6 linked regions of the Macaca fascicularis genome follow. The protein of the gene in region 3 purifies or fractionates together with the protein of the main gene of each other region. This does not show direct contact. Links are inferred from orthologs where the notes say so. Each region holds a gene or a part of one and is shown on either strand. Other genes may lie near its edges.

Region 1 (4,462 bases), about 120 Mb from region 3:
TGTCAGTAACACCTAGTATGTGAGACCTTGTAGTCAGTCACTTACTATTTATCAGTCACCTCTTACTATTAGAGGATAGAAACACCTCTTACTATTAGAAACTTTTGTCATTATTTAATTCTGCAGACACATCTATCTCTTCCATATTACATATTGCTTTGAAATTCACTGAAGAATTCAACATTCAATACATATAACTAGCCCTCTCCCTATCATAGCTGTGTTACATCAAAGAAGGGAGCAAGCTGTGCTTTCTGCAGACGGACCGTCAGTGTTAAATGTAATAAAAAACATCATGTAATGGATTACTAATAGGAGTTTAAGACTTCCCTATGCTACAGCCCAAAGGTCCTGCCTTGGAGATTAGATGATACAGATAAGATCTGGTAACCCAACAAAGAACTCTGAGCAGGACAGGGTTCTAGACCAAAGAGACCTCAAAAAGCACACGCACTCTACTCACAAGAGGACCTCAGAGATCATTTATTTCTGAAATAATTCTCAAACTCAAGAATGTTCTTTCTTAACACAAGGCAGATTTAAAGCATCAAATAAGAAGGGGCCAGGCACGGTGGCTCATGCCTGTAATTCCAGCACTTTGGGAGGCCAAGGCGGGTGGAACTCCTGACCTCAGGAGTTCAAGACCAGCCTGGCCAACATGGCGAAACTTCATCTCTACTAAAAATGCAAAAATTAGCTGGGTGTGGTGGCACACGCCTGTAGTCCCAGTTACTCAGGAGGCTGAGGCAGGAGAACGGCTTGAACCCAGGAGGCAGAGGTTGCAGTGAGCCGAGATCATGCCACTGCACTCCAGTCTGGGTGACAGAGCGAGACTGTCACAAAAAAAAAAGAAGTAAAAAAAATTTTAAGTATTGGAAATTCTTAGTAGCAACCAAAACATTAAAGAAATGGCAGCTCATTGCAAAGAAGATAATAAAGAATTCAAAAAAGTACAGTAATCCAAGCAATCAATGTTATTCTAATACTCTTTTGTAAAGCCAGATAAACTTTGCACTGAGTTTCTGTGACGCATACTAACTTGCTCCAAATATCAAGGACCCAACTGTTAACGCACTTAAGAACACGTGACCACCCCTAGCGTACCTCTCCCTTAGAATTGCTTGTGAGTGTCAAAATGAGCAGCTGCTGCCCATTCTCACCTTAACTGGAGGCGTGGTTCCTGTAGGGTGTCTGCGGATCTGGCAGCCATTCTGGCTGGGCCTCTGCGGCTTGTTGTTCAGTTGGGGCTTCTTGACAGTGCCTCCATGATCATTTCTCACAGAATCAACCTTCTCAGCAGTTGTTTTGCTTAAAAGCTGATTAAGACACATGAAAGAGATTAATACTCTTATCAAAGTAAACAAATATCATCTAGGAAAAGTCCCCTTCTGAGCACAGTTTTCCAACTTCTCTAAGATAATAATAATAAATAGTGTAACTCTTACAAAAAAAAAACATACCACGGAGCTGTTGGCATCTGGTAGGAATTGTCCAAACTCTGACAACAAATCCTCCTGGTTTTTAAAGAGACGAGCAACCTGGGCATACACCTCCTGCTCTGTCAACGCTGGAGTGTAGTTTCCTCCAGCTTCCTTGGCATTTCTCTGCTCTTTCTGAGGAATTGCAAATGAAGAGATCACATTAAAGGGCTACTGTTTTGAGTCGCTCATCTTTGCACACTTTCTGGAATCACTGTTATCTATTCAGGCTGCATGTAAGAAGAAAGTCTATGTTCTCAGCACCCGTTCTGACCACAAACGAAAATTTCAAGTTGAGAAAAAAGTGCAAGATGGTGGATGACAATTCCTTTCAAAACTAGGGTAGTAAATTTTTTTGAGATGGAGTTTCACTCTTGCTGCTCAGGCTGGAGTGCACTCATCTCGGCCTCCCAAAATGCTGGGATTACAGGTGTGAGACACCATGCCCGGCCTAGGGCAATAAATATTAATGCCCAGGGGACCACTACCAACTGATAAAACCTTAGAAATTTCTCCTCCTCCTACTGTAGATTAACTAGACTAAATAAGTCACCATCTAACTGTCCCAGATAAAACAGAGTTTCATTTCATGGGACAGTGACTAAAAATCCTGACTGAGGCCAGGCGCAGTGGCTCACACCTATAATCCCAGCACTTTGGGAGGCCATGGCGGGCAGATCACCTGAGGTCAGGAGTTTGAGACCAGCCTGGCCAATATATTGAAACCCCATCTCTACTAAAAATACAACAAATCACTTGAACCCAGGAGGTGGAGGCTGCAGTGAGCCGACATTGCACCACTGCACTCCAGCCTAGGCAAAAAGAGCAAAACTCTGTCTTAAAAAAAAATCCTAAATGAATGTTGCAGGGCAATCAAGTCAGGCAAATAAAACTGGCTTTATAGCATGGGTGTGGTGGCTCACACCTGCAATCCCAGCACTTTAGGAGGCCGAGGCAGGCGGATCACAAGGTCAGGAGTTCGAGACCAGCCTAGCCAACATAGTGAAATCCCATCTCTACTAACAATACAAAAAATTAGCTGGGCATGGTGGCAGGTGCCTGTAATCCCAGTTACTAGGGAGGCTAAGGCAGGAGAATCACTTGAACCTGGAGGCGGAGGTTGCAGTGAGCCGAGATCGCACCACTGTACTCCAGCCTGGGTGACAGTGCAAGACTCCCTCTCAAAAAACAAACAAACAAAAACACTGGCTTTATAAACACGCATGGTAGTTTCTAACTGGCTAATTTCCAGTATGAATTAATGGACACAATAATGGTTACTTAAGTTGTTCTTTGACTAGATGGCCTGATTAAGACAAGCTGAATGGATACTCTTCTTACCTGATATGTGTGCAAAATCTCCAGGAATGCTTTGTAGATGTCTGGTTGGCCCTGGAATCTGTTCTTGATCTTATTAACATAGTTGATGGCATGATTAAATTCCACAGGTTGATTGTTCTGCAAGGATGGGGCCGTTCCCAATGAGATTGTCACTGGTGTGTGAGGCTGGACCGGCGGAGAACGTGGGGATGCATACGGTGGAAGTGGGGGAGTCTGCTGACTGGCAGGAGTATGTGCTTGTAGTTGGGAGGGCTAAAAAGAAAAAAAGTCTTTATTCTCCTCAGATGCATAGATGAGTTGATAGAAGGAAAGTTCAAACTGAAGAGAAACAAAGTGTCAACGTATATCCTTTATTTACTCACTCAGGCCAGGCCATTTTAGTCCTACACAAATCATACTGGGCAACAGTGGGAGTTGTAGAGAGTTTCAAACATGCTGATACAAATATCTCAGTCTCACATTTTCTAAATAAAATCTTAAAACTGGAGCCATCTACAATTACAGTGAAGAATTTTTCATATGCAATGTTTTAGCTTAGTAGCTCAACAAGTACACATAGAAAAAATCTCATTCTACACAGCCTTTTGATGTCAACAAAAAGACACCTCAACTGTTGCAGCAGCTCCACATAGTCTTCTATGCCAACTCTGTCCTATAGAACTGAGATGATGGAAATGTCCTTTATTTGCACTGTCTTAAATATACAGCCACTAGCCACATGTGGTTACTGAGCACTTGAAAGCTAGTGCAAATGAAAAACTGATTTTAATTTAAATTTGAATAGTGCTATGTGGCTAGTGGCTACTGTGTCAGACAGTGTGGTTCTAGACCAAGAACACCCCATCTTCATCATCATCACCATCACTGTTCATTAGATCTTCTACTTAGCTTGATATAATCTGGTAAGTGAAATAACTTTCATAAAATAACCATGTGGGCAGTAGCACAATTTGACCATAAGAGGATGGTTTCTGTTTGTGCTATCAACTACTACTACACAAAGTCACCACCTGTTGGGATGTTCATGGTTTTATAAGCAGAAACTGTAAAGAGAAAGACCTTGAAAATTGTTGCTGTGTTGATTTAAATAGATATCTAAGTGGTGTGTAAATGTGAACCATGTTATAGTGAAGTGACTACTGCATTTTTCTCTGATGAAATCTTTGTAACCTTGTGTCTCAGTATCTAAGTCTTATATAAAGGGGAAATGTCAAAGGAAGGTACTTTCTAGGGATGCATTCACGTTGATGCAATATTTTCCAAGTGCTCACCTTGCTGACTTTGGCAGGTGGGGGCTGAGGAGCTGGCTGGGCAGGAGCTGGGGCTGACTGGGTTGAAGGCTGGGAAGGATGTTGGGGTGGTGGTTGAGGCTGGGGCTGGATGCCATGGGTGGGAATCTGATGAACCTGGCCAGGAGTTGTCACATTCACCATGTCATTGGTCTGCACCTCAATTTTGTAGCCAGGGGGCAAGAAGGTGTTGAATCCCATTATCAGATCGGGGTGGCCTTTGAATAGCTGGGACACACGACTAATCACTCCTGGGGTGTCGATGCTAATAAAAAAACAAAAAGAAAAGTGATGAACTGTAAGCTTGACAAACACCCTGGTCATAAAAAATTTCATGTTTCTTTTTTCCTTTGA
Region 2 (4,462 bases), on a different chromosome or scaffold from region 3:
GGTAAGCCTGAGATCAGCGGCAAATAACTTGCCAACCTGTTAATTTTCTTCTCTCCTGGCTCTTAGCAACTTGGAGGGCTTCCTGGAGGAGTTTGCTGACATATCCAAAGAGGACCAGATCAAGAAACTGCATGATTTGCTGGGGCCACATATGCTACGGAGGCTCAAGGCAGATGTCTTTAAGAACATGCCAGCCAAGACAGAGCTCATCGTTCGGGTGGAGCTAAGCCCCATGCAGAAGTAAGATGCAAGACAAGCTGCCTGCAGTAGGGGTTGGGGATTGATGGGAGCATTCCAAGTGCAATATCATAATTGCTTCTTTTTTTTATGTTTCTTTTACACCCCTTTCCTGGCCTTTAGGAAATACTACAAGTACATCCTGACTCGAAATTTTGAGGCCTTGAATTCACGAGGTGGTGGGAACCAGGTGTCGCTGCTTAATATCATGATGGATCTTAAGAAGTGCTGCAACCATCCATACCTTTTTCCCGTGGCTGCTATGGTAGATACACAGAGCAGGAGCTGATCGAATGTCCGCTCTCAGAAAACATGGGTGGGGAGTAGTGGGGAGGTGGGTATTGAGCCACAAGGGTGGAGTGCGCTGGAAGGCCAGGGACTGGGTCTCTGAGAGCAGTAGGAATTGGGAATGTGTGGAAGCTGGATCTGGGCATCTGGCCTTCTAGGCATGGTAAGAATATGGGGAGATGTTTCCAACTGACCCTGTCCTCCTCCTCTCTCCTCCCTTTTCAGGAGTCCCCCAAACTCCCCAGTGGGGCTTATGAGGGTGGGGCACTTATTAAGTCATCTGGGAAGCTCATGCTGCTCCAGAAGATGCTGCGAAAGCTGAAGGAGCAAGGACACCGAGTACTCATCTTCTCGCAGGTGACCTGTGCCCTTAGCTGTCTACATCTGCTTCCTCTTCCCTCTCCTCGTCCTCCACACTTTAATTTCTTACCGTCTTCCTGTGGCTGCTCCAGTGTGACAAATGAGGAGATTCCTCCTGTAAGAGTTTCTTTTTTTTTTTTTTTTTTTTTGAGACAGAGTTTCTCTCTTGTTCCCTGACTGGAGTGCAGGGCCGTGATCTGGGCTCACTGCAACCTCTGCTTCCTGGGTTCAAGTGATTCTCCTGCCTCAGTCTACCGAGTAGCTGGGATTACAGGTGCCCACCTCCATGCCTGGCTAATTTTTTGTATTTTTAGTAGAGACGAGGTTTCACCATGTTGGTCAGGATGGTCTCGATCTCCTGACCTCAGGTGATCTGCCCACCTCGGTCTCCCAAAGTGCTGGGATTACTGTATAGCAAGTTTATTCTTGGCCTCTGATGCCTGTTCTTAAGGTTATTGGAAGTTGAAGTCCAGCTTTAGTTCCTTTTCAGCTGCATGGGGGAAGGGTGAGGGTGAGCCTCCTTAGAGATTGGTATTATTTCTTCATCTTATTGGCAGGTGAGGGTGAAGGCACAGACCCTCTGGAAATGTGATGAAAACTCTGGGTCCACTCTCCAGACAACTGTACATACAATGACACAAATTTGTATGGATTTTCAGGGGGTTCCTAGATTTCCCTGAAACCTTTTCATGGGTCGCAGAGAACCTCTGCCTTAGGAGAAACAATCTTAAATCAAGAGAGTGTGACAAGAGGGCCAGACATGGTAGCTCACACCTGTTATCCCAGCACTTTGGGAGGCTGAGGCAGGAGGATCACTTGAGGTCAGGAGTTTGAGACCTGGCCAACATGGTGAAACCCCGTCTCTACTAAAAATACAAAAATTAGTTGGGCGTGGTGGCGCACACCTGTAGTCCCAGCTACTAGGGACTCTGAGGTAGTAGGATCACTTGAACCCGGGAGTGGAGGTTGCAGTGAGCTGAGATGGCACCACTGCACTCCAGCTTGGGCAATAGAATGAGACTCCATCTCAAAAATAAAAATAAAAAAGAGAGTGTGATAAGAATGTGGAATAAAGAGGAGCTTAAGACAGGGCAGGGGTTCCGGTGTAAGGATCAGGGTTGAGTTTGTATAAAGGAGTAGTTAGAATAAGCAAGCTATCCCACCACCTCATTATTCCAGACTCCATCCTTTTCTCTTGCTCTAGATGACCAAAATGTTAGACTTGCTTGAGGACTTCTTAGACTACGAAGGCTACAAGTATGAACGCATCGATGGTGGCATCACTGGTGCCCTGAGGCAGGAGGCCATCGATCGGTTTAATGGTGAGGGAGATACACTGGTCCCTGGTGGGTGTGGGAGGCCTGAGAAACCTGTGATAGGTCTCTGGGATGGGAGGGGGACTGGCTTGGGGGACATTGGAAACTTAGGCTTTGAGTTGGGGGCATGGTTGTTTGTCATCAGAGAACGTCTAGGAGCAGGTGGACAGACCTACTGGGTACAAGAAAAACCTGATCCAACTCTCACCTCCTAGCTCCTGGAGCCCAACAATTCTGCTTCCTCCTGTCCACCCGAGCTGGGGGCCTGGGCATCAATCTGGCCACTGCTGACACTGTCATCATCTTTGATTCTGACTGGAACCCCCATAATGACATCCAGGTGGGAACTCGTATCCTGGAACGCCTGCACCATTTAGCAAGGAGATGTGGGTTCATGGAGGAGGGTGTCATGTTCCGGGGTCAGAAATAAGTCGCTTCTAGGAGGAGAGAAGACCCTTCTTCAGCAGCCTTCTTTCCTGAGCATGTGGGCAGCTTCTCCCCGGCCACTCCCCTGGCCCACCCGCCACTTTCTCTTGCCCCTGCAGGCCTTTAGCCGGGCTCATCGGATTGGCCAGGCCAACAAAGTGATGATTTACCGGTTTGTGACTCGTGCGTCAGTGGAAGAGCGAATCACACAAGTGGCCAAAAGAAAGATGATGCTGACACACCTGGTTGTGCGGCCTGGGCTGGGCTCCAAGGCAGGCTCCATGTCTAAGCAGGAGCTTGACGACATTCTCAAATTTGGCACTGAAGAGCTGTTCAAGGATGAAAACGAGGGTGAGAACCTTTTCTGCAGCTCCGTGAAAGCAGGTCCCTGCTCTCCCCCTGCGGAGGGAAAAACAACTCTTCTCTGTAGCCTTTGAAGGAAGGAGAGCCTTCTTTTAGTGGCTCTTGGAGGAAGGTTGACCTCTTTCTTTGCCTGTAGGGTTAAAACAAACAAAACATAAACCTTTCAACATTGGCTCCCAGGGAAAGAGCCTTCTCCAGGGCTTCTGTGAAAAGGATGCAGAGTAGAAGCTTTCCCATCAGCCTTTCTAAACTTTGGAACCCAAAGTTCCCTGTTTTCCCTCTCACCAGGGGAGAACAAGGAGGAAGACAGCAGTGTGATTCATTATGACAATGAGGCCATCGCTCGGCTGTTGGACCGGAACCAGGATGCAACTGAGGACACTGACGTGCAGAACATGAATGAGTATCTCAGCTCCTTCAAAGTGGCACAGTACGTCGTGCGAGAAGAAGACAAGGTGAGAGGCTCTGGGGGCCAGACATTATCTATCCCAGGCCATCTCCAAAAGGCAGTATCCTTTACTTGGCCTTGAAATAGGAGGGTCTGTCCCCCTTAGAACAGTAGTGGACCTCAAATAACGTCTTCGTCTAATAGGTGAGACTGGACTTCAGAGAGAAACGTAGGCACAGACAGTACTGGTAAACACAGAGGGTACCTTCTGAGACAGTGCAGGAGAAACACTGTCAGAGGGATTAGAGGAGAGATTTAGAAAACATGAGGAGAGCACGCTGCAGGTAAGAGATGGCATGGAACATGCACAATGTCCAGAAAATGTATGCAGAGTCACGAAGCTCCAGGAGTGGGGAGACCAGATTGGGCTGACGCAGCAGAGTAGGGATTTCATTGCCATGGAAAGATTAGCAAAGAAGGAGACCCCCAGTGTTCATTCATTCTGCTGCCCTTCAGATTGAGGAAATTGAGCGAGAGATCATCAAGCAGGAGGAGAATGTGGACCCTGACTACTGGGAGAAGCTGCTGAGGCATCACTATGAGCAACAGCAGGAAGACTTAGCCCGGAATCTAGGCAAGGGCAAGCGGGTTCGCAAGCAAGTTAACTACAATGATGCTGCTCAGGAAGACCAAGGTGAGGACTGCCCCAGATGCAGGCAGTAAAAGTGGGGGAAGTGATGATGAGAAGGGACTTAAGGCTGGGGCTACTTAGAGAGTAAGAGAGAAGCCTAGAAGTCAGAGCCTTTCCCTGCTAAAAGGGAAAGACGTAAGGTAGAGTCATTAGGAACTACCCGGAGGCCAGGTGGGTTTGCAGGTGATTTAAACTATTTGGTGGTTGCACAGGCATCCTGTGGACACCCAGGGCCACTGCTTAGAGTAGGTTTGGCAGGAGAACCAGAGGGGCCCAGAGACTGAAGGTGGGCGGTGAATGGAGATGCTGTAGGATATGCGGCTCCCAAGTCAGACTTCAGGCAGTGACCTGGCGTTCCCAGAAGGGCCAAGGCCAGAATAAAGGTAGACAAGT
Region 3 (5,236 bases):
CTGAAACTCAAACTTGCCTGGGCATCCTGTACTTTTTTTTACTAAATTTGGCGCCTCTACACATGAGGTCCCTTTGCGGGGGGGAGGGGGCAGGAGCAAGCCCCTTCCCAGGCTGAGTCCCTGCCAGCAGCTCTCACAGGCCAGGACGGCCGCCCAAACGGGGCCCATGCCAGGCAGCCGGTGACAGACGGACAAAGGCTGTTCAGGAGACACCTTCCTCTCTCTTGTCTGGGGGCTCAAGAATCCAGACACCCACCTCCTGGGGCGAGCACCAAGACAGGAAGCCAACCTACAACACCCAGCTCACTGCAACCACAGGCCCTGCCGGGGTCCTGCCGGAACCCGGGGTTCGGGTCCAGAAGCCAGGGATAAACGCCGCTTCTCCTATAGGGACTGTCAGAGGAGAGCGGGAGAGGCCCACAGTCTCACCTGCAGGGAGAGGACGTCCTTGGGGTGGGCACACGGAGGGCCTGACAACCCTGAGCACACCTGGCCACAGTGACCACGGACTGCACACACAGCAGCAGTCTGGATCCCACGCGTGGCTGTGTTGCCAGCAGACAGCACCCAACCTGCCATGCTCCTCATCACAGAGAGAGACCAGCAACATCTCCGCCAGGCATGGTGGGCACCTCCGCCACAGCCTGGGGGTCCAGGCCACCCAGCCTCACAGCACTGGAGTGTTGTGGGTCAGTGAGGCCCCGGGACGGGCCTCCAGGCACAGAGGGACAGAGGGTTCAGGGAGGGCGGTGCAGACCCACACAGGGCTCCTCCCAAGCCTGTGCAGGGCCCAGGGGAGCTGCACCTCCGGGACGGGACAAGGCAGGGTCCTGGCTTTCGTCAGCCACAGCACAGCTGCCACAGGGCACAGAAGGATGACTGAGAGACGAGGTCCTCACCCACACCATGGGGAAACCGAGGCACGGGACGGTGGGGGGGCAGCCAGGCTGGCGCCAAGTTCACAGGCAGGCGGGCCTGAAGGCCGAGCAATGCAGCCACTGGGAAGGCACGAGTCGGGGTCGGGGTGTCCCCAGCCCTAGAGCCCAAAGCCGCCACCACTCCCCAACCCCAGCCTGGGTGGGGGCAGGGAGAAATCTTCTTGGGACCAATCCCAAAACCATGCGCAGTGGGCCCGGCTGGAGCCCAGGCAGTAGGCATCCTCTCTACCGGGATGAGAAACTGGGCCCTCATGTCAGGCTGGAAGGGGGATCTCCAGGTGGGGAGAAAGAACAGGAAGAAACAGGTCGCTCCCTCAAGGGACCCCACACCCAGGCTGCCCCAGGCGTGGGGTGGGCTGAGCCCACCTGTGTCCACACAGGGACCTGGCAAAGCTGTATGAAGCTGTGGGAGGGGGCTGACGCTGGATGGGCACAGGCCCACTGCCTCTGTGAGAGGACAGGGGAGGCCCAGAGCTGCTGATGCAGACTGACCGCCCATCTCACAGACGGGGTGTAGGGGGCTCCCACCGTCCCCAAGGTCACAGGGCTGGCCGGCGAGACCACACGGCGTCCAAGGCAGCAGAGGCCACGCTCGAGGGACACGGCGTGTTCTGGGCACTCGGGGTCACGGGCATGGGGATCAGGCCAGAGCGAGAGAGACCCCAGCTCCCTCCTGCAGCGCAGGCTGCAGGTGGGAGAGGCAATGGGCACCTGCCGAGAGGGTCACAGGCAGGGAGGGGTCTCAAGAGTCCCGGGGAGGGAGGCACTGATGGAATGATGGAATGCGCACGACCCCCCATCTCCCTGTGAAAGACCCCACGGAGTCCCAGGCACTCGAAGGAGGGCAAGGCCCAAAGCTGCAGGCCCGCGGGGCCCGAGCAACAGGAGGCTTGACCCAGAGAGGAAGCCCCGGGCCCCTGCCCAGGGGACCCTCCGGTCTCTCCCCAACCCTAGCAAAGCGCCTCCCGAATGGGCTGAGGTGAGCGGGAGGCAGGGAAAAGTTTGGGGGGACTTAGAGGCGTGCTCGGGATACTCGCTCCCTGCTGAAGACCCCCTGAGAGAGCCCTGCGGGGGGAAGCCCCGGGGCCAGGCTGCAGGAGGGCTCTAGGGAGGAACGCGGCCCCTCACCGGGGCTCCCCATCCGCAGAGGGGACGCACCGGAGTCCTAGCACAGGGCCGCGGGCCGGGGGAGACCCCACAGCCCCAAAACTCCTGCTCCCAGACCGGCAGCCGGCGCCTCCCAAGGCCACGTGCTCCCGCGGGGGGCTCCCGGCCCCGGCCCCCCGGATGTCCCCGGCCGCCCGCGCCCCTCCGCCACCCCCGCGGCCGCCCCCTCGGCCCCAACAGGTGGGCCGCCCCCCACCCCCGGGCCGCCGCGCCCCGCCCGCCCCCGATGGGGCCGACCCGCGGGGCCATTTTGGGTTGGGGTGAGCACTGCGGGGGGAGGTTCGGGAAGGAGCCGGGGGCCGCGGGGGCGGACGGGGGGCGCGGGGCCTGCGGGGCGGAGGGGCGGGGGAGGCGGCAGCGGCGGCGGGTGGGGGCTGCGGGCGGGTCGGGGCCGGGCATAAAGGCGGTGCGGCCTTACCTCCGACCCTGTACATGTTGGCGGCCATGTCCGGGCCGGCGGCGGCGGAGGGGCCCGGGGCGGGCGCGGCGCTCGGCGCGGGCGGCCGGGAAAATGGAGGCGCGATGGCGGGGGCGGGGGGCGCCGCAGGCGTTTAAAGGGGCCGCGCTGCTGCCGCCGCCGCCGCCGCCGCCGCCGAGGCCGCCGAGGCCGCGCAGGGACGGGAGGGCCGCGGCGCGGGCGGGAGAGGAAGAGGAGGAGCGGCCGCGGGCGGCGGGGAGGGGCCTCGGGCGCCGCCGCCCACCGCGCGGGCCGTTACCGACCCCGCGCCGCCCGCGGCCCGTGCGCCCCTTCCCGGACAGTTCCTCCCGGCGCCCCCGAGTCCTCCCCGCGCGCCGCTTCCCCGGTGGGCCATTCCACCAGACCCCCCTGGTAGATCCTCCACTAGTGCCCTGGGGGTAGAGGGGGATCCTCCACAAGGGTCCTTTCCCTGGTGATTCTTCCTGTGCCCCACAGGTGAGTCCTGCCATAACTCTCCAGGGGGTTCCTCCTGATGCTGGGGTCCTCCGGCATTCCCCCCTGACCCCCAACAAGGGCCCTGAAGCTCAGCGGCCCAGCCCTGGCCTCGGGGTCCCCACCCCACACCTCCCTTCCAGGCCTAACCTTTGCCCCCGACACCAGGCAGCGTGTGTCCTTGGCCTTCGCCGCCCAGCCCGCATGGCATCTCTGGACCGGTGACCGTGCGCGCCTTGGTGTGGGCAGGCTCCGTAGGCGGCAAAGCCTCCCTGAACTGTGACCTGGTGAGAAGGCCACAGAGGAGGTGCCTGTGCCCAAAGGCCACCTCCGAAGACCCCACCTGAGGCTGGAACCCAGCGCCTGCTGACCTCCCCAGCCCTAACAGGGCTGGAGTCCGGGAGCGGCCGTGCCCTTTCCACAGTGAGGCAGCTGCCCTCCCTCCCCACCACCTGTCAGGATGCCCTCCTGTGTGTGTGTGTGTGTGTGTGTGTGTGTGTGTGCGTGTGTGCGTGTGTGCGTGCGCGCACAGGTGTAACGAGAGGAGAGTCCAGTGACCCAGACGCCCCAGCCAGGAAGAGCATGAGGTGGGAAGGGGGCTTCCCAGATGGAGAAAAACAGATGGTCCCACAGTGGCTTGGAGACAGGTGCAACATCAGTGTTGGGGGAGGTGAGGAAAAGGAGCTGTCTTGGGGCTCCAGGCTGCTGGTTTGAGCAGCACCATGGGTCTCGGCCCTGCCTGCTCAGATGCTGGAGGTCAGTGACTGGAGGGAGCTGACATCTACCTGGGACATCCCTCCCTGTAGGACATGGAGCGGAGTGTTCAGGGCTATCAGGAGGGAGCCCTGTGCCCACGGTTCAAGATCTAGGCAGGTGGGACAGATGTGGTCAGGGTGCTGGGGACAGAGCATAGGGAATCCGGCACACAGGACACCAGCCAGGTGGGCAGAAAACAGCATGTGCTGGGAGAAAGCCAGGTGGGGGTCCCGAGGAGAGCAGTGGCCACAATGTCTTGGCTGCAGAGCAGACTAGAAAGGAAAACCCTGCCAGGGTTAGCACAGGGCCAGGAACCGAAGCTGCAAGGCAGTGCTGTCTCTGGGGAGAGAGGGCTGTGGGTCCCAGGACACATCCTACGGGCCGCAGGGAACAGGAGCTGGCTTGCTGGTGATTGGGTGGGAAGAGCAGACAGCCAGGGGCCAGGTGCAGGAGAGGGGCAATGACAGACAGGCAGTGTCTCCCTAGAAAGAAGGTGGGGCTGCTGCCTCCCCTGTCCTACAGCCCCGGCCTACCTCTGTCTCCTCAGCAGGAAAGCAACGCTGCGGCCTGAGATCTCCTTCCACCAACTCCTGGCATGGTCAGAAAGTTAGCCAGAAACAACAGAAAGTGCCAGGCAGCTAGGAGGCATGGGGAGAGCCCCCGAAGCTGTGTGTGTAGTGCCTGCTTCCGCTGCCATCCCAGAAACGGAGGCGCTTCACCCTGAAAACCCGGCCACGCCACCAGGACACATCCTGACAGTGACATGCACACTCTCCCCTGGCCTTGGCCTGGAGGGGAGACTCCTGCAGACACCAGCCTTGCTCCTTCTCCCGTTGGGGGTGGAGAGAACTGACTGCTGGAGGGGAGACAGTCAAAGCTGTCCTTAGGAGGGAGTACGGCGCAGGGTCTGGTGTCCCAGGGAGACAATCTGAACTTCAAGCCAGGACACCGCAGCGAAGAGGACACACCCCTTACCATGCAGAGTGACGTTTAGTAAACTCTCAAAAGACAGCACAGAGCCCTGTTCCTCCAGCCGACCCCTACTCTGCCTCCCCACTCCAGACCAGTGAAAAAGGTGGATTGCCCTTAAGCCAGCTCAGAGGCAAAGTCCAAAGACCTCAGGTAAGTCAAACAATAAAAACAAAGAATTAAGAAGAATCCGGTCGGGTGCGGTGGCTCACGCCTGTAATCCCAGCACTTTGGGAGGCCAAGGCAGAAGGATTACCTGAGGTCAGGAGTTCGAGACAAGCCTGGCCAACTTGGTGAACCCTCATCTCTATTAAAACTACAACAACAACAACAACAACAACAAAAATTAGCTGGGTATGGTGGTGCGTGCCTGTAGTCCCAGCTACTCAGGAGGCTGAGGCAGGAGAATTGCATGAACCCTGGAGCCGAAACCATACCACTGCACTCCAGCCTGGGGGCAGCACAGTGAGACTCCGTCTCAAAGAAACAAAAATTA
Region 4 (5,081 bases), on a different chromosome or scaffold from region 3:
GAGGGAGGGATGCGAGGGGGTGGGGAGAGGGAGGGCCCCGCAACGTGCCGGGGCGGGGGAGCTTCCGAAGTGTGTGACAAGTTCCAGGGCCCAGTGAAAAATTCAATTCCCTGTGCGCACCCCCCACCACCACCCCTTTAAAAAAAAAAAACACAGAACCAAGTATAGGTGGTCCTTTAAAACTGCATCAAAAATTTAAAGTAAGAATCATAAATTGGGTAGGGGGGGAATGTGGGCCCTCACGCCTTTCTTTCCCTTGCTGCCAAACTTTCCTAAGTGCCCACCGCCCGCCTTTCAGGCGCAGTCAGCGGGAGACAGCCAACACCACCACCTCTTATATAGACTCACAAGAACCTCAGACCGAGCCAGGCCTGGGGAAGAGGGCAAGCCCCAAAGGGTGAAGTGCTCGGGGTCCCAGGATCCAGCACCCTCAAAATGCATACTCAAACACACTTCTGCCCTGCCCTTTCCCGGCAACCCCGCCACCTGGCCTGGCCGTGCTCGGGGAGCAGGGGGACTCGTGGCCAGACCGGGCAGGGTGGGGGGTGGGCAGGGAAAGCACGTGGTGACCTCCTCGCGGTCCCGAGCTGTGGACAAGAGACATCTGAGAGAGTACCCAGGGCAGAGGGGAGGGGAGGCGCAGAACGCGCTTTTACAGTTGCTTTGCAAAATAAAAATGCTTTGCAAAGCCGAGTTTCACCCAGCCGATTTCGCAGTCTGGGAGGTCGAGAAGAGGTCTGGGCATTGTGCTGGGGGCGGACCAGGACCGCGGGCCAGGCTAGCGCGGAGTCACTGCGTGGCCTGCCGCCGTGCCTGGCGGGTGGGCGGCGGGCACCGGGTGGGCGATCCGGGGCTGGGCTGGGGCGCGGCGAGGTGGGGCAAGGCCCGGGCGAGGCCAGGCCGCCGCCGCCGCCTGCTCCGGGGCTGCCGCGCCGCGCTCGGTCCTCTGTCTGTTTGTTGGCAGGAGGCTCCCGCACACGCGGTGCTTGTAAACATTCAGACACGAGATTTTTCCCAATCAAAATCCACTTCCACTTTTTTTGAAAATCTTCCAAAAAATAGTAAGAGGAGGGAGTTCCTCTCTCCCTCTCCGTGCCGCCGGCGCCCTAAGTTTGCAACTGAAGGGGTTTTGGGGAACAGGGTGATTGTAAATTTTTTTCTGGATTAGAGATTGTGAGATTTTTGCAGGGGGGCTGGTGGGGGAGTCAAAGAGAAGGCCGTCACAGAAAAGGGTTGGCAGAGCGTTTGGCTTCGATTTGGGGGCAAGAAATTGTACATTCTCTTGCCTTGTTTTATTTATTTTATTTTTATGTATTTGTTTGTTTATGTGCCAGTCTTCTCCTTGCTGCCTCTGAGGTTCGGTCGGGAGGGGAGGGCAGCGGCAACCTAGGCGGCAGCAGTCCCGGCTCCCTCCCTCCCTCTCCCGCGTGCCCCCGGCCGCCTCCTCCCCCGGCCCTGGCTCCTGCCCTTCGGCGGCGGCGGCGGCGGCGGCGGCGGCGGCGGCGGCGCGGGAGGGCAAGCGCGAGGAGCCGGCACAAAAGGCAGCGGGACAAACACCCACCTCGGGCCGGAACAAAAGGCGGCAGTGCCGGCCGCGTCTCCTGTCCTTCCCGGTCCCACGGCTCTCCCCGCCGCCGCGGCCCCTCTCCCGACTCGGCGGACTCAGGAGCGCCGGGGGCCCCTTTCCACAGTCCCACTTTCTCACTATTGTGGGGATGACTACTTTCCTCACGCTGCACACTTGACCGTGAGCGCGCTGGTGTCCAAAGGCCAGTCTCACCTCTTTTCTCCCCGGGAATCGTTTTTTAGACTTGTACTCACTCACTTCCCCCCCCCCCCCCCGCCAATTTCTTACGGTGAGTGGGAAGCAACCTCCCTTTCCCCACCAGCTCCCACCCCCAGGTTTGCATGTGAGTTGTTCGCATCCTTAGCATTGTTCATTATTTTGCAAAACTGGGAGGGGGGGCGGTGGAATCATTGCATTCCTTTTCGAAAAGAGAAATAAAGCAGCGGAAAGGAGGAAAGAGGAGGAGTCAAATTTTTGTAAAATTAAATAAAATTAAAAGGTGCGTACTGTCTCAAAAGTGCATACACGGCAATGGTTCGAGATGGGATGAGGGTTTTTCCCCCTTTAATCTCTTTTACCTCGACTCTCGGAGGTTTTTCTCGTGAAAAATTTAAAAATGCATGCACACACCCCTCTCTCCCCCTCGCTTTTGCTTCTAGTCCTGCGCGCTCTCGTGATTATTAATAATTATTATTACTATTATTGGGTTACTTACGCGAGAATTCCCGTTTGCTTAAGTGCTGGGGTTTGCCTTGCTTGCGGCGAGACATGGTGGGCTGCGGGGCGGGCGGGCGGCGGCGGCGGCGGCGGCGGCGGCGGCGGCGGGCGGACGACGGCTCGGTTCACATCGGGAGAGCCGGGTTAGAAAGAAGGAGACTCCAGAGAAAATATCTTCATCAGTGCCTTTTGACATCCAAAATAAATTAGAAATAATACAAAGATGGCGCAGGGAAGATGAATTGTGGGAGAGCCGTCATGGCTTTTTTTTTTAAGCAAAAAAAAAAAAAAAAAAAAAAAAGGGAGAGAGAGAGAGAGAGAAGAGAGATAGAGGAAGAGAGAGAGAGAGAGATGAAAAAAATGGCAAAAGCCCCCCTGAGCTGCAAGTTCAAGTGCGGACGTGACGTCCCTGCGAACTTGAACGTCAGGAGTCTGGATGGACAGAGACACACAAAACATGGGCAGGGCGAGCAGGAGAGAAGGGGAGGAGGGAAGGGGAAGCTCACACCAATGGACACACATCAGGGGCTGGACATGAAAAAGAGACCAGGACAAGCCAATGGCCAGTGCGGGGCGGGGGAGGTGCGGGGCGGGGGGCTCCGCGGACGCCAGACGCGGCCCCCGGGGGAGGGGCGGGCCGAGGGGAGGGGGCGCTGGGGCCGCAGGCTCACCAGTGGCCGCAGCGAGCGCCGCGGCGGTGGCGTGGCCGGGAGAGAAGAAAGGGGTGGCAGGGGTGGGAGGAAAGGGTGGGGGGGAGCAAGACGTGCGCCCTGCTCCCCCCCACACACGCGGGCCCTAAAATGAAAGATTATTCAAAAAAGGAAAAAATAGAGCGAGAGTGCACCGGGAGGCTGCAGCCCCGGGCTGGGGAAGCGCGGGCGGAGGGAAGCCAGGTAGAGTTGCTCCCGGACACCCTCCTCCGTACGCACACCCACTTCCCCTCCCCGCCGCCGCCGCGCTTGCTCCCCGCGTGCGGACGCCAGGGGCCGAAGTAAAAGCCCCGAGCCCGCGGCTGCGCTCGGGAAACTTTGCCCGAGGAGAGGACAGCAAAGAAAAATCACCCGAAGTTGAGAGCTGAGCCTCCAAGTTACAGCTCCGCAGCGGGCGAGGGGAGACGGGAGGGAGCGCACGGCAACGCGGAATCTAGCCCAAGTTTGGAGGGTTGCAGGTCCGGAAGGGCAGCGCCCGAGTCTCCAGGAGCCCGGGCGGCCTGGAAAGAGGGGACCAGGGAGAGGGAGGCGGCGCAGGCCAGGGCCCGAGGGCGCCCCCAAGGCCGAGCCAGGGATCTGGGATCTGAGCGCCCCGCCAAGCGACTGGGTCTGAATGCAACTGGAAGTGCCGAGTCCCCGGCTCCTAAGGGTCGCGGAAAGAGAGCACGAGGAATAAAGAACGAGGAGCCAGAGTCTGGCCCCCGGAGGGGAGCGCCGGGGGCCTGGGCGAGAGAGGCGCCGAGGCGTCCACCTCTCTGAGCGGCCGAGGACAAAGCGCGGGCAGTCCCGGGAGTCCCAGTCCCTGGGAATGTGCTCCCGGCGCCGCGGGAGGTCCCCGAGCCGGGTCCCTGGGAGGGACACACCCCCTCCCACTCCAGAGCAACTGCAAAAGCACAGAGGGATGGAAAGAAAATGTTTCTTACGGGCAGAGCACAACTGTTCCTGTGCTGTTACCCAGGGAAAAAGAAAATGGGGAATGGAGAGAGAGCGACAGGCTCGCAGCAGCAGCGGGGAGGCTACGGTGGTGAGATGACCGCCCCGGGTCAACGCCGCGCTCCCCAGGCGCCGCCCGCCAAGGCGCACACCCGGGAGCCAGCAGCCCCCTCTCGCCTTTCTGCAGACGTTCCCTGGAAATTAGGGAAGACCTGTTGGAAATAAAACCCTGTCTCTTTAATGCACACACGCACACACACGCGCGTGCTGCCGCTGTCAAAAAGCGGGCTTCACTCTGGCGTGGGATACTTTCAGTTTTACGTAAAATGTACAGCAACAGCACCCCCTGCGATTGGAAAGTTTATTCAGAAACGTGCCTGTAAAGTCCCCCGGCGCCTCCCGCCTCCCAGCCTCCCTGCCTGCCAGCACCACTCTGCAGCCGCCGCCGCCGCCGCCGGGGAGATCGCGGTCCGATTCCAAATCCGGAAGGGGCTGGGGGGAGAGGAGAATGAACTCAGGTCCAAGGGAGGTGCGGAGGGTGCAGGGTGGAGGCGGGTCGCCACGGCCCGCGAGACCCTGAGCTGCAGGTGGATATGTGTGAGTGTGTCTACAGAGCGAGGAGCCCTCCTTCCCTCTCCTCGGAGCGGTTCCACAACCCCCGTCTTCTCATCCCCCTCTTCAGTCTAAGGGGTGTCGTTTCCGGAAACTCACCCACCCGGTGGGGGGCTTTATTGTTTTAAGCGAGGGTCCCCGGCTTGCGCGCGCTCACCCATCCCGCAACCCTACCGGCAAGCGGCTGTTTATTCCTGTGTCGTCTTAGTAAAGTTTCAAGTCTACTGTGTTAGAAAATGACTGGCTTGCCTAGCTCGGTGGAGCTTCGGACCCCTCTAAGGAAGAAAAGGAGGTTTTGATGCTCAACATTGAGAGTGATGTGGGCTGGACTGGGATTGTCTCAGTGTGGTTTGTTGTTTGTTGTTGTTTCCCTCCAGTTTGCGGGGGGCGGTGAGACCTCAAATTCTGTTTAAGAAGCGGGAAGATTCACTAGAACTTAAGCTCTGTAGCTTGTGTGTGACACCATTTCCCCTTTTCACTGAGTTCTTCAGAGCAGGTCAGCATCTCTATTCCATCACAGTCTGTTTTTTGTCTTGTTAAAC
Region 5 (4,928 bases), on a different chromosome or scaffold from region 3:
CGCCTGAGTGAGGGTGGGTGTGCTGGGGAGTGCGTCCAAGTGGACAGTGCTGTGTACAGTAATGTCTACGGAGAGTTCCAGGAGAGCCTGGCTACTCCTGCCCAGGATAACCTCTCCCCCACCACCCGAGTCCGGTGTTTGCGGGCAGGACTTTTCCGAACTGGGGCTGTGAGCCTAGAAATACGTGAACGGGAGCGCTCAGCTCAAAGCCCCAGGGTTTCCGGGGCTCGCTTGTGCGGGGTCGGGGTCCCTGGTGGGCACAGGTGGGAGGGCGAACCTGCGGATGGGGTGGGCCCGGGCCCCTCCCCGCCGGCTCAGCATCTGTGCGCCTCCAGCTCAGGTGCGCGGGAGGAAGGCAGCGCCTGCCCCGCAGAGCCCCGCGCGCCCGCGAGGTGGCGCTATAGCCGCAGCAGCGCCCGCCGGCCCGGGCCGCTCCAGATAAGAGTGTGCGGAAAGCGCGGCGGGGCTGAGACGCGACCAGGACGCGGGGAGGACGGACCAGCAGGACAGACCGACCGGGGGCCCGGCGGGCGGAGGGCAGCGCAGCCACATCCCCCCTGGATCCGCCGGCAGCCGGGCCCGGGGCTTTCGACATGCCCCCCAGGTGGGTCCTCGAGCCGGGGACCGGGAGGGACGGGGGCCCGAGACAGCCCGGTCCTCGTGCGTCGGCCGCCTCGGGCGCATCCTCTGGCGCGGGTGCCCCATCGCGGCTGGCGGCTGGCGTTCAGGGCTCCGGGTGTCGTCCCTGTCGGACTCGGGACCGCCGGGCCGCGGCTCCGCGCCGGGTTCACGGCGGGGTCAGCGGCCCGGGGCCGGCTGTGCCCGCACATGGGCTGGAGAGGCGAGGGGAAGGGAAGGGAAGGGGAGCTGGCGGGCGGGGCTGGCAGGGGCGCTGCCCTGGCACAGCTCGGGGCCTGGCAGCGGCGGGTGGGGCATCGGCTAAGGGCTGCCACCGCCGCGGGGAGGGGAGCCCGGCCCTCCGGGGCCGCAGGTAACGGGCCGCGGGGCCCCGCGGGCCAGGAGGGGAACGGGGTCGGGCGGGCGAGCAGCGGGCAGGGGAGCTCAGGGCTCGGCTCCGGGCTCTGCCGCCGGATTTGGGGGCCGCGAGGAAGAGCTGCGAGCCGAGGGCCTGGGGCCGGCGCACTCCTCCCGCCCTGTCTGCAGTTGGAAAACTTTTCCCCAAGTTTGGGGCGGCGGAGTTCCGGGGGAGAAGGGGCCGGGGGAGCCGCGGAGGGAGGCGCCGGGCCCGCGCGTGTAGGGCCCAGGCCGAGGCCGGGACGCGGGTGGGGCGCAGGCCCGGGTCAGGGCCGCAGCCGGCTGTGCGCCGTGCCCGCCCGGGGCGCTGCCCCCTCCCTCCCCTGGGAGCTGCGTGGCTCCCCCCTCCCCCCCACCTGCTTCCTGCCTCAGCCTCCTGCCCCGATATAACGCCCTCCCCGCGCCGGGCCCGGCCTTCGCGCTCTGCCCGCCACGGCAGCCGCTGCCTCCGCTCCCCGCGCGGCCGCCGCCCGGGCCCCGACCAAGGGTTGACAGCCCCCGGCCAGGGCGGCGCCAGGGCGGGCACCGCGCTCCCCTCCTCCGAATCACTTCCCCCAACTGGGGCAACTTCTCCCGAGGCGGGAGGCGCTGGTTCCTCGGCTCCCTTTCTCCCTACTTGGGCAAACTTTTCCGCCCTGAATGACTTTTCCTGAAGCGGACATTTTACTTAAATCGGGTAACTGTCTCCCAAAGGGTCACTTCGCCTGAACAGTCTTCTCCTCGGAAGCCCCAGCACCCAGCCAGGTGCCCTGGGGCATGCAGGCCGGCCTGGCCTCCCCTCCACCGGCGGTCGCTCACCTCCCGCTCCTTCTCCTGGTCCGGGCGGGCCGGCCTGGGCTCCCACTCCAGAGGGCGGCCGGTCCTTCGCCGGTGCCCAGGCCGCAGGGCTGATGCCCCCGCTCAGCTGAGGAAGGGGAACTGGAGGGGGAGAAGTGCCGGGCAGGGGGCAGGCGGCCAGGGCGCCGCACGGCTCTCACCCGGCCGGTGTGTGTCCCCGCAGGAGAGTGTGCTGGGCAGACGATGCTGGACACGATGGAGGCGCCCGGCCACTCCAGGCAGCTGCTGCTGCAGCTCAACAACCAGCGCACCAAGGGCTTCTTGTGCGACGTGATCATCGTGGTGCAGAACGCCCTCTTCCGCGCGCACAAGAACGTGCTGGCGGCCAGCAGCGCCTACCTCAAGTCCCTGGTGGTGCATGACAACCTGCTCAACCTGGACCATGACATGGTGAGCCCGGCCGTGTTCCGCCTGGTGCTGGACTTCATCTACACCGGCCGCCTGGCTGACGGCGCAGAGGCGGCTGCGGCCGCGGCCGTGGCCCCGGGGGCTGAGCCGAGCCTGGGCGCCGTGCTGGCCGCCGCCAGCTACCTGCAGATCCCCGACCTCGTGGCGCTGTGCAAGAAGCGCCTCAAGCGCCACGGCAAGTACTGCCACCTGCGGGGCGGCGGCGGCGGCGGCGGCGGCTACGCGCCCTACGGTCGGCCGGGACGGGGCCTGCGGGCCGCCACGCCGGTCATCCAGGCCTGCTACCCGTCCCCGGCCGGGCCTCCGCCGCCGTCTGCCGCGGAGCCGCCCTCGGGCCCCGAGGCCGGGGTCAACACGCACTGCGCCGAGCTGTACGCCTCGGGACCCGGCCCGGCCGCCGCACTCTGTGCCTCCGAGCGCCGCTGCTCCCCGCTCTGTGGCCTGGACCTGTCCAAGAAGAGCCCCCCGGGCTCCGCGGCGCCAGAGCGGCCGCTGGCTGAGCGCGAGCTGCCCCCGCGCCCGGACAGCCCTCCCAGCGCCGGCCCCGCCGCCTACAAGGAGCCGCCGCTCGCCCTGCCGTCCCTGCCGCCGCTGCCCTTCCAGAAGCTGGAGGAGGCCGCACCGCCTTCCGACCCGTTTCGCGGCGGCAGCGGCAGCCCGGGACCCGAGCCCCCCGGCCGCCCCGACGGGCCTAGTCTCCTCTATCGCTGGATGAAGCACGAGCCGGGCCTGGGTAGCTATGGCGACGAGCTGGGCCGGGAGCGCGGCTCCCCCAGCGAGCGCTGCGAAGAGCGTGGTGGGGACGCGGCCATCTCGCCCGGGGGGCCCCCGCTCGGCCTGGCGCCGCCGCCGCGCTACCCTGGCAGCCTGGACGGGCCCGGCGCGGGCGGCGACGGCGACGACTACAAGAGCAGCAGCGAGGAGACCGGCAGCAGCGAGGACCCCAGCCCGCCCGGCGGCCACCTCGAGGGCTACCCATGCCCGCACCTGGCCTATGGCGAACCCGAGAGCTTCGGTGACAACCTGTACGTGTGCATCCCGTGCGGCAAGGGCTTCCCCAGCTCTGAGCAGCTGAACGCGCACGTGGAGGCTCACGTGGAGGAGGAGGAAGCACTGTACGGCAGGGCCGAGGCGGCCGAAGTGGCCGCTGGGGCTGCCGGCCTAGGGCCCCCTTTTGGAGGCGGCGGGGACAAGGTGGCCGGGACACCGGGTGGCCTGGGAGAGCTGCTGCGGCCCTACCGCTGCGCGTCGTGCGACAAGAGCTACAAGGACCCGGCCACGCTGCGGCAGCACGAGAAGACGCACTGGCTGACCCGGCCCTACCCCTGCACCATCTGCGGGAAGAAGTTCACGCAGCGTGGGACCATGACGCGCCACATGCGCAGTCACCTGGGCCTCAAGCCCTTCGCGTGCGACGCGTGCGGCATGCGGTTCACGCGCCAGTACCGCCTCACCGAGCACATGCGCATCCACTCGGGCGAGAAGCCCTACGAGTGTCAGGTGTGCGGCGGCAAGTTCGCACAGCAACGCAACCTCATCAGCCACATGAAGATGCACGCCGTGGGGGGCGCGGCCGGCGCGGCCGGGGCGCTGGCGGGCTTGGGGGGGCTCCCCGGCGTCCCCGGCCCCGACGGCAAGGGCAAGCTCGACTTCCCCGAGGGCGTCTTTGCTGTGGCCCGCCTCACGGCCGAGCAGCTGAGCCTAAAGCAGCAGGACAAGGCGGCCGCGGCCGAGCTGCTGGCGCAGACCACGCACTTCCTGCACGACCCCAAGGTGGCGCTGGAGAGCCTCTACCCGCTGGCCAAGTTCACGGCCGAGCTGGGCCTCAGCCCCGACAAGGCCGCCGAGGTGCTGAGCCAGGGCGCTCACCTGGCGGCCGGGCCCGACGGCCGGACCATCGACCGTTTCTCTCCCACCTAGAGCGCCCCTCGCCAGCCCGCTCTGTCGCTGCTGCGCGGCCCTGGCCCGCACCCCAGGGAGCGCTGGGGGCGGCGCAGGCCAGCCGTGCCCGGGACAACTGCAGCGTCGCCGCGGTGGCGGCTCCACCTCTCGGCGGCCTCACCTGGCCTCACTGCTTCGTGCCTTAGCTCGGGGGTCCGGGGAAAACCCCGGGACGGGGGTGGGACGGGGTAAGGGAAATTTATATTTTTGATATCAGCTTTGACCAAAGGAGACCCCAGGCCCCTCCCCGCCTCTTCCTGTGGTTCGTCGGCCCCCTCCCCCGGCTCCGCGCTGCTCTTAGGCGGGGAGGGGTGTCACTGTCGGGGCGCTCCTAGCCCTACCTCCGGCCCTTGCGACCACACCCATTCTCACTGTGAATCTCCCCGCTGGGGTCGGAGCATCGGGCAGAGTTGGGGAGTGGGGAGGGGACTGAGCCGGCCGGAGGGCCCCCCGCACCCCCACTCCCACCCACCCCGGGACTGATAATGTGAAGTTCCTCATTTTGCACAAGTGGCACTAGCCCCAGGGCCAACCCTTCCTTCCTCAACCACCAAGGGCGGGGAGTTCTGGAGTCAAGAGGGCGAAGAGCCCTGGCCTGCCAGGTCTCCCACTCCCGCGGTGCCCCCTTCCCTTCCCTTCCCTGGGGCCCCGGACCATATTTATTGCATGCGCCCCGGCGGCCCCGCCATCCCGAGCCCAGGTTGGGC
Region 6 (5,039 bases), on a different chromosome or scaffold from region 3:
GCAACCCCAGTTGAAGGGAAAGGCTTTGGCAAGCAGCAGACCTTAGCAGGAATTCCTGCTTCCTGGCAGTTAACTCCTCCAGCATCCACTTTTAAGAACTCTTGAGGAATAATGGCCGGGCCCAGTGGCTCACGCCTGTAATATCAGCCCTTTGGGAGGCCAAAGCAGAGGACTGCTTGAGCCCAGGAGTTCAAGACCAGCCTGGGCAACAAAGCAAGACCCTCATCTCTAAAAAAAAAAATTTTTTTTTTTTTTTGAGACAGAGTTTTGCTCCTGTTGCCCAGGCTGGAGTGCAATGGCGCAATCTCGGCTCGCTGCAACCTCCACCTCCTCCGTTCAAGCCTCCTGGGTTCAAGCGATTATCCTGCCTCAGCCTCCTGAGTAGCTGGGTTTACAGGTGCCCACCACCATACCTGGCTAATTTTTTTTTTTAGTAGAGATGGGGATTCACCACGTTGGCCAGGCTAGTCTCAAACTCCTGACCTCAGGTGATCCACCCATCTTGACCTCCCAAAGTGCGGGGATTACAGGCGTGAGCCACTGAGCCCGGCCTTCTAAAAATTTTTTTTAAGGATTAGCTGGGCATGGTGGCATGTGCCAGCTACTCAGGAGGCTAAGGCAAGAGGACTGCTTGAGCTCATGGGTTTGAGGCTGCAGTAAGCCATGACTATGCCACTGCATTCCAGCCTGGGTGACACAGTGAGATCCCGTGTCTTAAAAGAAAAAACTTAAAAAACAAGCTAAGTTAGCCACTAGCATATGAACCTTTATGTGCCATGCATATTCTCATTTAACCCAATACCACCTGAAAACACATGTCATTATTCCTAGACTATGGATATAGAGGTGGCATATGCTTGTTTAAGATCATCGAGCCAGTGGAGGCCATGTTTTCAAGAAGGCTGGGCAGGCCAGGTACAGTGGCTCACACCTGTAATCCCAACACTTTGGGAAGCTGAGGCAGGAGGATCGCTTGAGGCCAGGAATTGAAGACCAGCCTGAGCAACATGGCAAGACTCCGTCTCTACAAAATTAAAAAAAGGAATAAAAAAGGAAGGCCGGGCCCAAACTTCTCTGAATTGGGTCTAACATCATGAAGCCAGGTACTTTTGTAACTTCACTTCCATTCCATTTTAAATCAAGTTTTATCTTGGGAGGATACTGGTACAGATGATTCAAGAAGGTATATACCCACTAACTGGTTAAGAAGTGGTTTGACTATAATCCCAGCACTTTGGGAGGCTGAGGCGGGTGGATCACTTGAGGTCAGGAGTTCGAGACCAGCCTGGCCAACATGGAGAAACCCCAACTCTACTGAAAACACAAAAATTAGCCAGGCATGGTGGTGGGCACCTGTAATCCCAGCTACTCAGGAGGCTGAGGCAGGAGAATCACTTGAACCCCGGAAGTGGAGGTTGCAATGAGCTGAGATCACGCCACTGCATTCCAGCCTGGGTGACAGAGCAAGACTCCATCTCAAAATAAAAAAGTTGTAGTTAAGGCATGGTGGCTCATACCTGTAACCCTAACCTTTGGGACACAGAGGCAGGAGGACTGCTTAAGGGCAGGGGTTTAAGACCAACCTGGGCAATATGGTGAAACCTCATGTATACAGAAAAAACTAAAAGTCAGTTGGGCATGGTGGTGGTCGCCTATGGTCCCAGCTACTCAGGAGGCTGAGGATCCCTTGAGCCCAGCAGTTCAAGGCTACAGTGTGTTATAATTGTGCCAGGGCACTCCAGCCTGGACAACAGAGTGAGACTCATCTCTAAAAATAAAATTGTTGTTGTTGTTGTTTTTGTTTGTTTGTTTGTTTTGAGACAGGGTCTCACTCTGTCACCCAGGCTGGAGTGCAGTACCACGATCTCGGCTCACTATATACAGCCTCAATCTCTGGGGCTCAAGTGATACTCCCACCTTAGTCTCTTGAGTAGCTGGGACTCCAGGTACATGGCACTACTCCTGGCTAATTTTTGTATTTTTAGTAGAGATGGGGTTTTGCCATGTTGCCCAGGCTGGTCTCAAACCCCTGGTTCAAGAGATTCATCCGCCACTGCCTCCCAAATTGCTGGGATTACAGGCGTAAGCCACAGCACCCAGCCTTCAAAAAAAAAGTAGGGGGTCGAACCAAATATCCATCCCTCCCCAAAGGCCCAACCAGGCCAGTTAACAAGCCCAAGGAAATAGAAAAATGGCAGAGTGCTTTCACAGATTCAGCTGGAAGTGTCCAGGCCTGGTGAGGGTTCCTATGCCTCATGCACACCTCCCTTGAACAAGTTGTTAGGAATGAATAGATGGCGTTCATGGACAAGGGGCTGGGACCACTGCTCCCACTGATCCTGTGCACGGAAGTCGGACAGAGGCATGAATTGCTAAAGCCAGGGCCTCCAACATTAGACACACACACTAAAGAACACACCCACGAACACACGCAAACACACACGAAAGTGTAGCCAGTTCTCAATAGCAAGACTTCCCTGATGCCCACGGCTCACAGGCACAGATTTACAGGAAAAGACCAACCATGGAGCCTTCACGCTTCCCGGGCCCTGCGCGGCATTGCACGGTTCAAGTTCCTGCCAAAACACAGACTTTCCCAAGGAGCAAGGAACACACAGTCCCAAGTGACAGAATGAGTTCCCCCTACGGAAGGCTGGGCTCTCAAACATGAGCCAGCCCAGCCCGGGCCCCGACCGGTGACGTCCGTCTCTGGAGGCCGCCATCGGGATGCACAGCTTTGGGGGAAAGGCACTGAGGGACCCCCCACCAGAGAAGCACCACCGGGGACCGGGCCGGACACCGGAAGTGGAGGCCGAAGTGCCGGTGCCCGAGGGGTGTCCGTTGGCCGCGGGCTGCCCACTTCCTGTGCTACCAAGCTGGAGGCAGGAGCCCGGCCCACCGCTGCTTGGAGAAGGGGACCCCGGAGACGAACCCAAAGCTTGCTGTATTTGGGGATCAAAAGAGAACCCCCACCCCGCCCAGTTTCTAGCCACCAGGGAGCTACGGGGGAATCCACAGCCCATTTTGGCGCCAAACAGCCCGGGCACGCGCGACCGGAAGTGCCACCCTGCCCGCGCCAACTGCCGCTGCGCGCCGCACCACCCCACGCATGCGCGCCCGTCTGTCAGCAGCGGCCACTGGCCACCCCGAGGGGAAGCGACCCCCCACCCAGCGCCCTGCCTGGCCCCCCGAGTCCACGTTCCCCCCACGGTACCTACCGCCTGCGGACATCGTCGGGCAGTGAGATGGCCGGGACGGCCAGTGTGGGCACCCGGGCTGGGGCGGTACGCGCCGGCATCTCGGAGGCTGCAGCAGACGCGACGGCGGCAGCGCAGGCGCCCCGGCTTTTCGCGCGGAAACCGATGGGGAGGGGCGATGAGCGGAGGCGGCGTCTACCACCCCAGTCCGGGCGCGGGGAGGGGGGAGCGGATGTACCAAAAGGAAAGAGGCGATACCCTGTGCAGAAGGATGGAACGGAGCAGGCCATGCCCAGGGACCACGCATGCGCGAGGCGGTCACGCACCCCCGCGCGGAGCAGTGGGCTCGTCCAAGCTCCACGGTTTGCTGGGAGGTGGGCACCGTGCCCGAGGCATTCATTCATTCATTCTTTCAGGTGTGATGGGGATAAAGCAGCAAGAAGTCCCCAAGGGCTTGTGAGAGCCCTTGAGTAAAGTCCTCAGTTCCAATTCAACCTCCATCTATTTGCTGGCTGTACGACCTTGGATGGGTCACTAGGACTCAGCCTCTGTGTCCTCGTCTGTAAAACGGGGTAATTGCACCTACTCTAGAAAATCTTGAGTATGCACAGAATTTGTAGCTAGTACCAAGAATCTCACAGTGTATAGAGACCCGTGCCACTTCTATACCCAGTGTGTGTGGGGTTTTTTGTTCCCCTTTTTAAGCACCACGTGGCTTATGCCTGTCATCCCAGTACTTTGGAAGGCCAGGGCAGGAGGATCGCCTCCTGGTTTAAGAGAAACCACATCTCTTAAAAGAAAAAAAGGAAAACAAAAATTAGCTAGGCGTAGTGGCGTGTGCCTGTAGTATAACTACTCTAGAGGTTGAGGCAGGAAGATCGCTTGAACCAGTGAGGCAGAGGTTATAGTGAGCCATGATTGCGCCACTGCATTCCAGCCTGGGAGACAGAGCAAGACCGTGTCTCAAAAAAATAAAAATAAAAAGTAAAAATAAATTAAGAAGCACTATGCCAGGCGCAGTGGCTCATGCCTGTAATCCCAGTGCTTTGAGAGGCCCAGGTGGGAGGATCGCTTGAGGTTAGGAGTGCAAGACCAGCCTGAGCAACATAGGGATACCCCATCTCTACAAAAAATACAAAGATTCGCTGGGCATGGTGACATACACCTGTAATCCTACCTACTCAGGAGGCTGAGGTGGGAGGATGGCTTGAGCCCTGGCAGTATAGGCTGCAGTGAGCTATGATTGGGCCGCTGGACTCCTGCCTGGGCGACGGGGTAAGACCTTGTCTCACTCTGTCACGCCGGCTGGAGTGCAGTGGTGAGATCTTGGCTCACTGCAACCTCTGCCTGCCAGGTTCAAGCGATTCTCATGCCTCAGCCTCCCTAGTAGGCTGGGATTACGGGCGTACTCCACCACGCCTGGCCAATTTCTGTATTTTTAGTGGGAGAGACAGGGTTTCACCATGTTGGCCAGGGTAGTCTGGAACTCCTTACCTCAAGCAATCCACTTGCCTCAGCCTCCCAAAGTGCTGGGATTATAGGCCTAAGCCACCGCAACCGGCCGGAATTTTTTTTTTTTTTTAAGCACCAGAACACGGGGGAAAGATTGTGTCTTTAACAAATGGTGCGGCCGGGCACGGTGGCTCACGTCTGTAATCTCAGCACTTTGGGAGGCCAAGGCGGGTGGATCATGAGGTCAGGAGTTCGAGACCATCTTGGCTAACATGGTGAAACCCCGTCTCTACTAAAAATTACAAAAAATTAGCCGGGCGTGGTGGCGTGCGCCTGTAGTCCCAGCTACTTGGGAAGCTGAGGCAGGAGAATGGCGTGAACCCGGAAGGC

What was found.
Region 1: the proteins of MTA1 (region 3) and SIN3A purify together in Homo sapiens (affinity purification with mass spectrometry; 3 studies listed by BioGRID, with this or other methods). This does not show direct contact. The link is inferred for Macaca fascicularis from reciprocal best matches to the Homo sapiens genes MTA1 and SIN3A.
Region 2: the proteins of MTA1 (region 3) and CHD3 purify together in Homo sapiens (affinity purification with western blotting; 7 studies listed by BioGRID and IntAct, with this or other methods). This does not show direct contact. The link is inferred for Macaca fascicularis from reciprocal best matches to the Homo sapiens genes MTA1 and CHD3.
Region 4: the proteins of MTA1 (region 3) and BCL11A purify together in Homo sapiens (affinity purification with mass spectrometry; 4 studies listed by BioGRID and IntAct, counting the BioPlex papers as one, with this or other methods). This does not show direct contact. The link is inferred for Macaca fascicularis from reciprocal best matches to the Homo sapiens genes MTA1 and BCL11A.
Region 5: the proteins of MTA1 (region 3) and HIC1 purify together in Homo sapiens (affinity purification with western blotting; 3 studies listed by BioGRID). This does not show direct contact. The link is inferred for Macaca fascicularis from reciprocal best matches to the Homo sapiens genes MTA1 and HIC1.
Region 6: the proteins of MTA1 (region 3) and DNMT1 purify together in Homo sapiens (affinity purification with western blotting; 4 studies listed by BioGRID and IntAct, with this or other methods). This does not show direct contact. The link is inferred for Macaca fascicularis from reciprocal best matches to the Homo sapiens genes MTA1 and DNMT1.

Annotation. Positions count from the first base shown.
Region 1 is NC_088381.1:52,631,799-52,636,260, forward strand, and holds part of SIN3A (paired amphipathic helix protein Sin3a), read right to left. Parts: intron 4,374-4,462; coding exon 4,091-4,373; intron 3,072-4,090; coding exon 2,820-3,071; intron 1,614-2,819; coding exon 1,461-1,613; intron 1,317-1,460; coding exon 1,161-1,316; intron 1-1,160. UniProt on the Homo sapiens protein: Acts as a transcriptional repressor. Corepressor for REST. Interacts with MXI1 to repress MYC responsive genes and antagonize MYC oncogenic activities. Also interacts with MXD1-MAX heterodimers to repress transcription by tethering SIN3A to DNA.
Region 2 is NC_088390.1:7,968,739-7,973,200, forward strand, and holds part of CHD3 (chromodomain-helicase-DNA-binding protein 3), read left to right. Parts: intron 1-66; coding exon 67-240; intron 241-360; coding exon 361-502; intron 503-750; coding exon 751-882; intron 883-2,089; coding exon 2,090-2,207; intron 2,208-2,416; coding exon 2,417-2,541; intron 2,542-2,746; coding exon 2,747-2,978; intron 2,979-3,278; coding exon 3,279-3,445; intron 3,446-3,894; coding exon 3,895-4,072; intron 4,073-4,462.
Region 3 is NC_088381.1:173,602,891-173,608,126, reverse strand, and holds the start of MTA1 (metastasis-associated protein MTA1), read right to left. Parts: upstream 3,441-5,236; 5' UTR 3,227-3,440; coding exon 3,166-3,226; intron 3,019-3,165; exon of another isoform or gene 2,817-3,018; intron 2,756-2,816; exon of another isoform or gene 2,552-2,755; coding exon of another isoform or gene 2,524-2,551; intron 1-2,523. UniProt on the Homo sapiens protein: Transcriptional coregulator which can act as both a transcriptional corepressor and coactivator. Acts as a component of the histone deacetylase NuRD complex which participates in the remodeling of chromatin.
Region 4 is NC_088387.1:61,424,903-61,429,983, reverse strand, and holds the start of BCL11A (B-cell lymphoma/leukemia 11A), read right to left. Parts: upstream 3,169-5,081; 5' UTR 2,956-3,168; intron 2,733-2,955; exon of another isoform or gene 2,481-2,732; coding exon of another isoform or gene 2,405-2,480; 5' UTR 2,367-2,404; coding exon of another isoform or gene 2,338-2,366; coding exon 2,283-2,337; intron 1,779-2,282; exon of another isoform or gene 1,562-1,778; intron 1-1,561. UniProt on the Homo sapiens protein: Transcription factor. Associated with the BAF SWI/SNF chromatin remodeling complex. Binds to the 5'-TGACCA-3' sequence motif in regulatory regions of target genes, including a distal promoter of the HBG1 hemoglobin subunit gamma-1 gene.
Region 5 is NC_088390.1:2,177,962-2,182,889, forward strand, and holds the start of HIC1 (hypermethylated in cancer 1 protein), read left to right. Parts: upstream 1-1,449; 5' UTR 1,450-1,674; coding exon 1,675-1,711; intron 1,712-2,035; coding exon 2,036-4,200; 3' UTR 4,201-4,928. UniProt on the Homo sapiens protein: Transcriptional repressor. Recognizes and binds to the consensus sequence '5-[CG]NG[CG]GGGCA[CA]CC-3'. May act as a tumor suppressor. Involved in development of head, face, limbs and ventral body wall.
Region 6 is NC_088393.1:10,739,874-10,744,912, forward strand, and holds the start of DNMT1 (DNA (cytosine-5)-methyltransferase 1), read right to left. Parts: upstream 3,048-5,039; 5' UTR 3,024-3,047; coding exon 2,524-3,023; intron 1-2,523. UniProt on the Homo sapiens protein: Methylates CpG residues. Preferentially methylates hemimethylated DNA. Associates with DNA replication sites in S phase maintaining the methylation pattern in the newly synthesized strand, that is essential for epigenetic inheritance.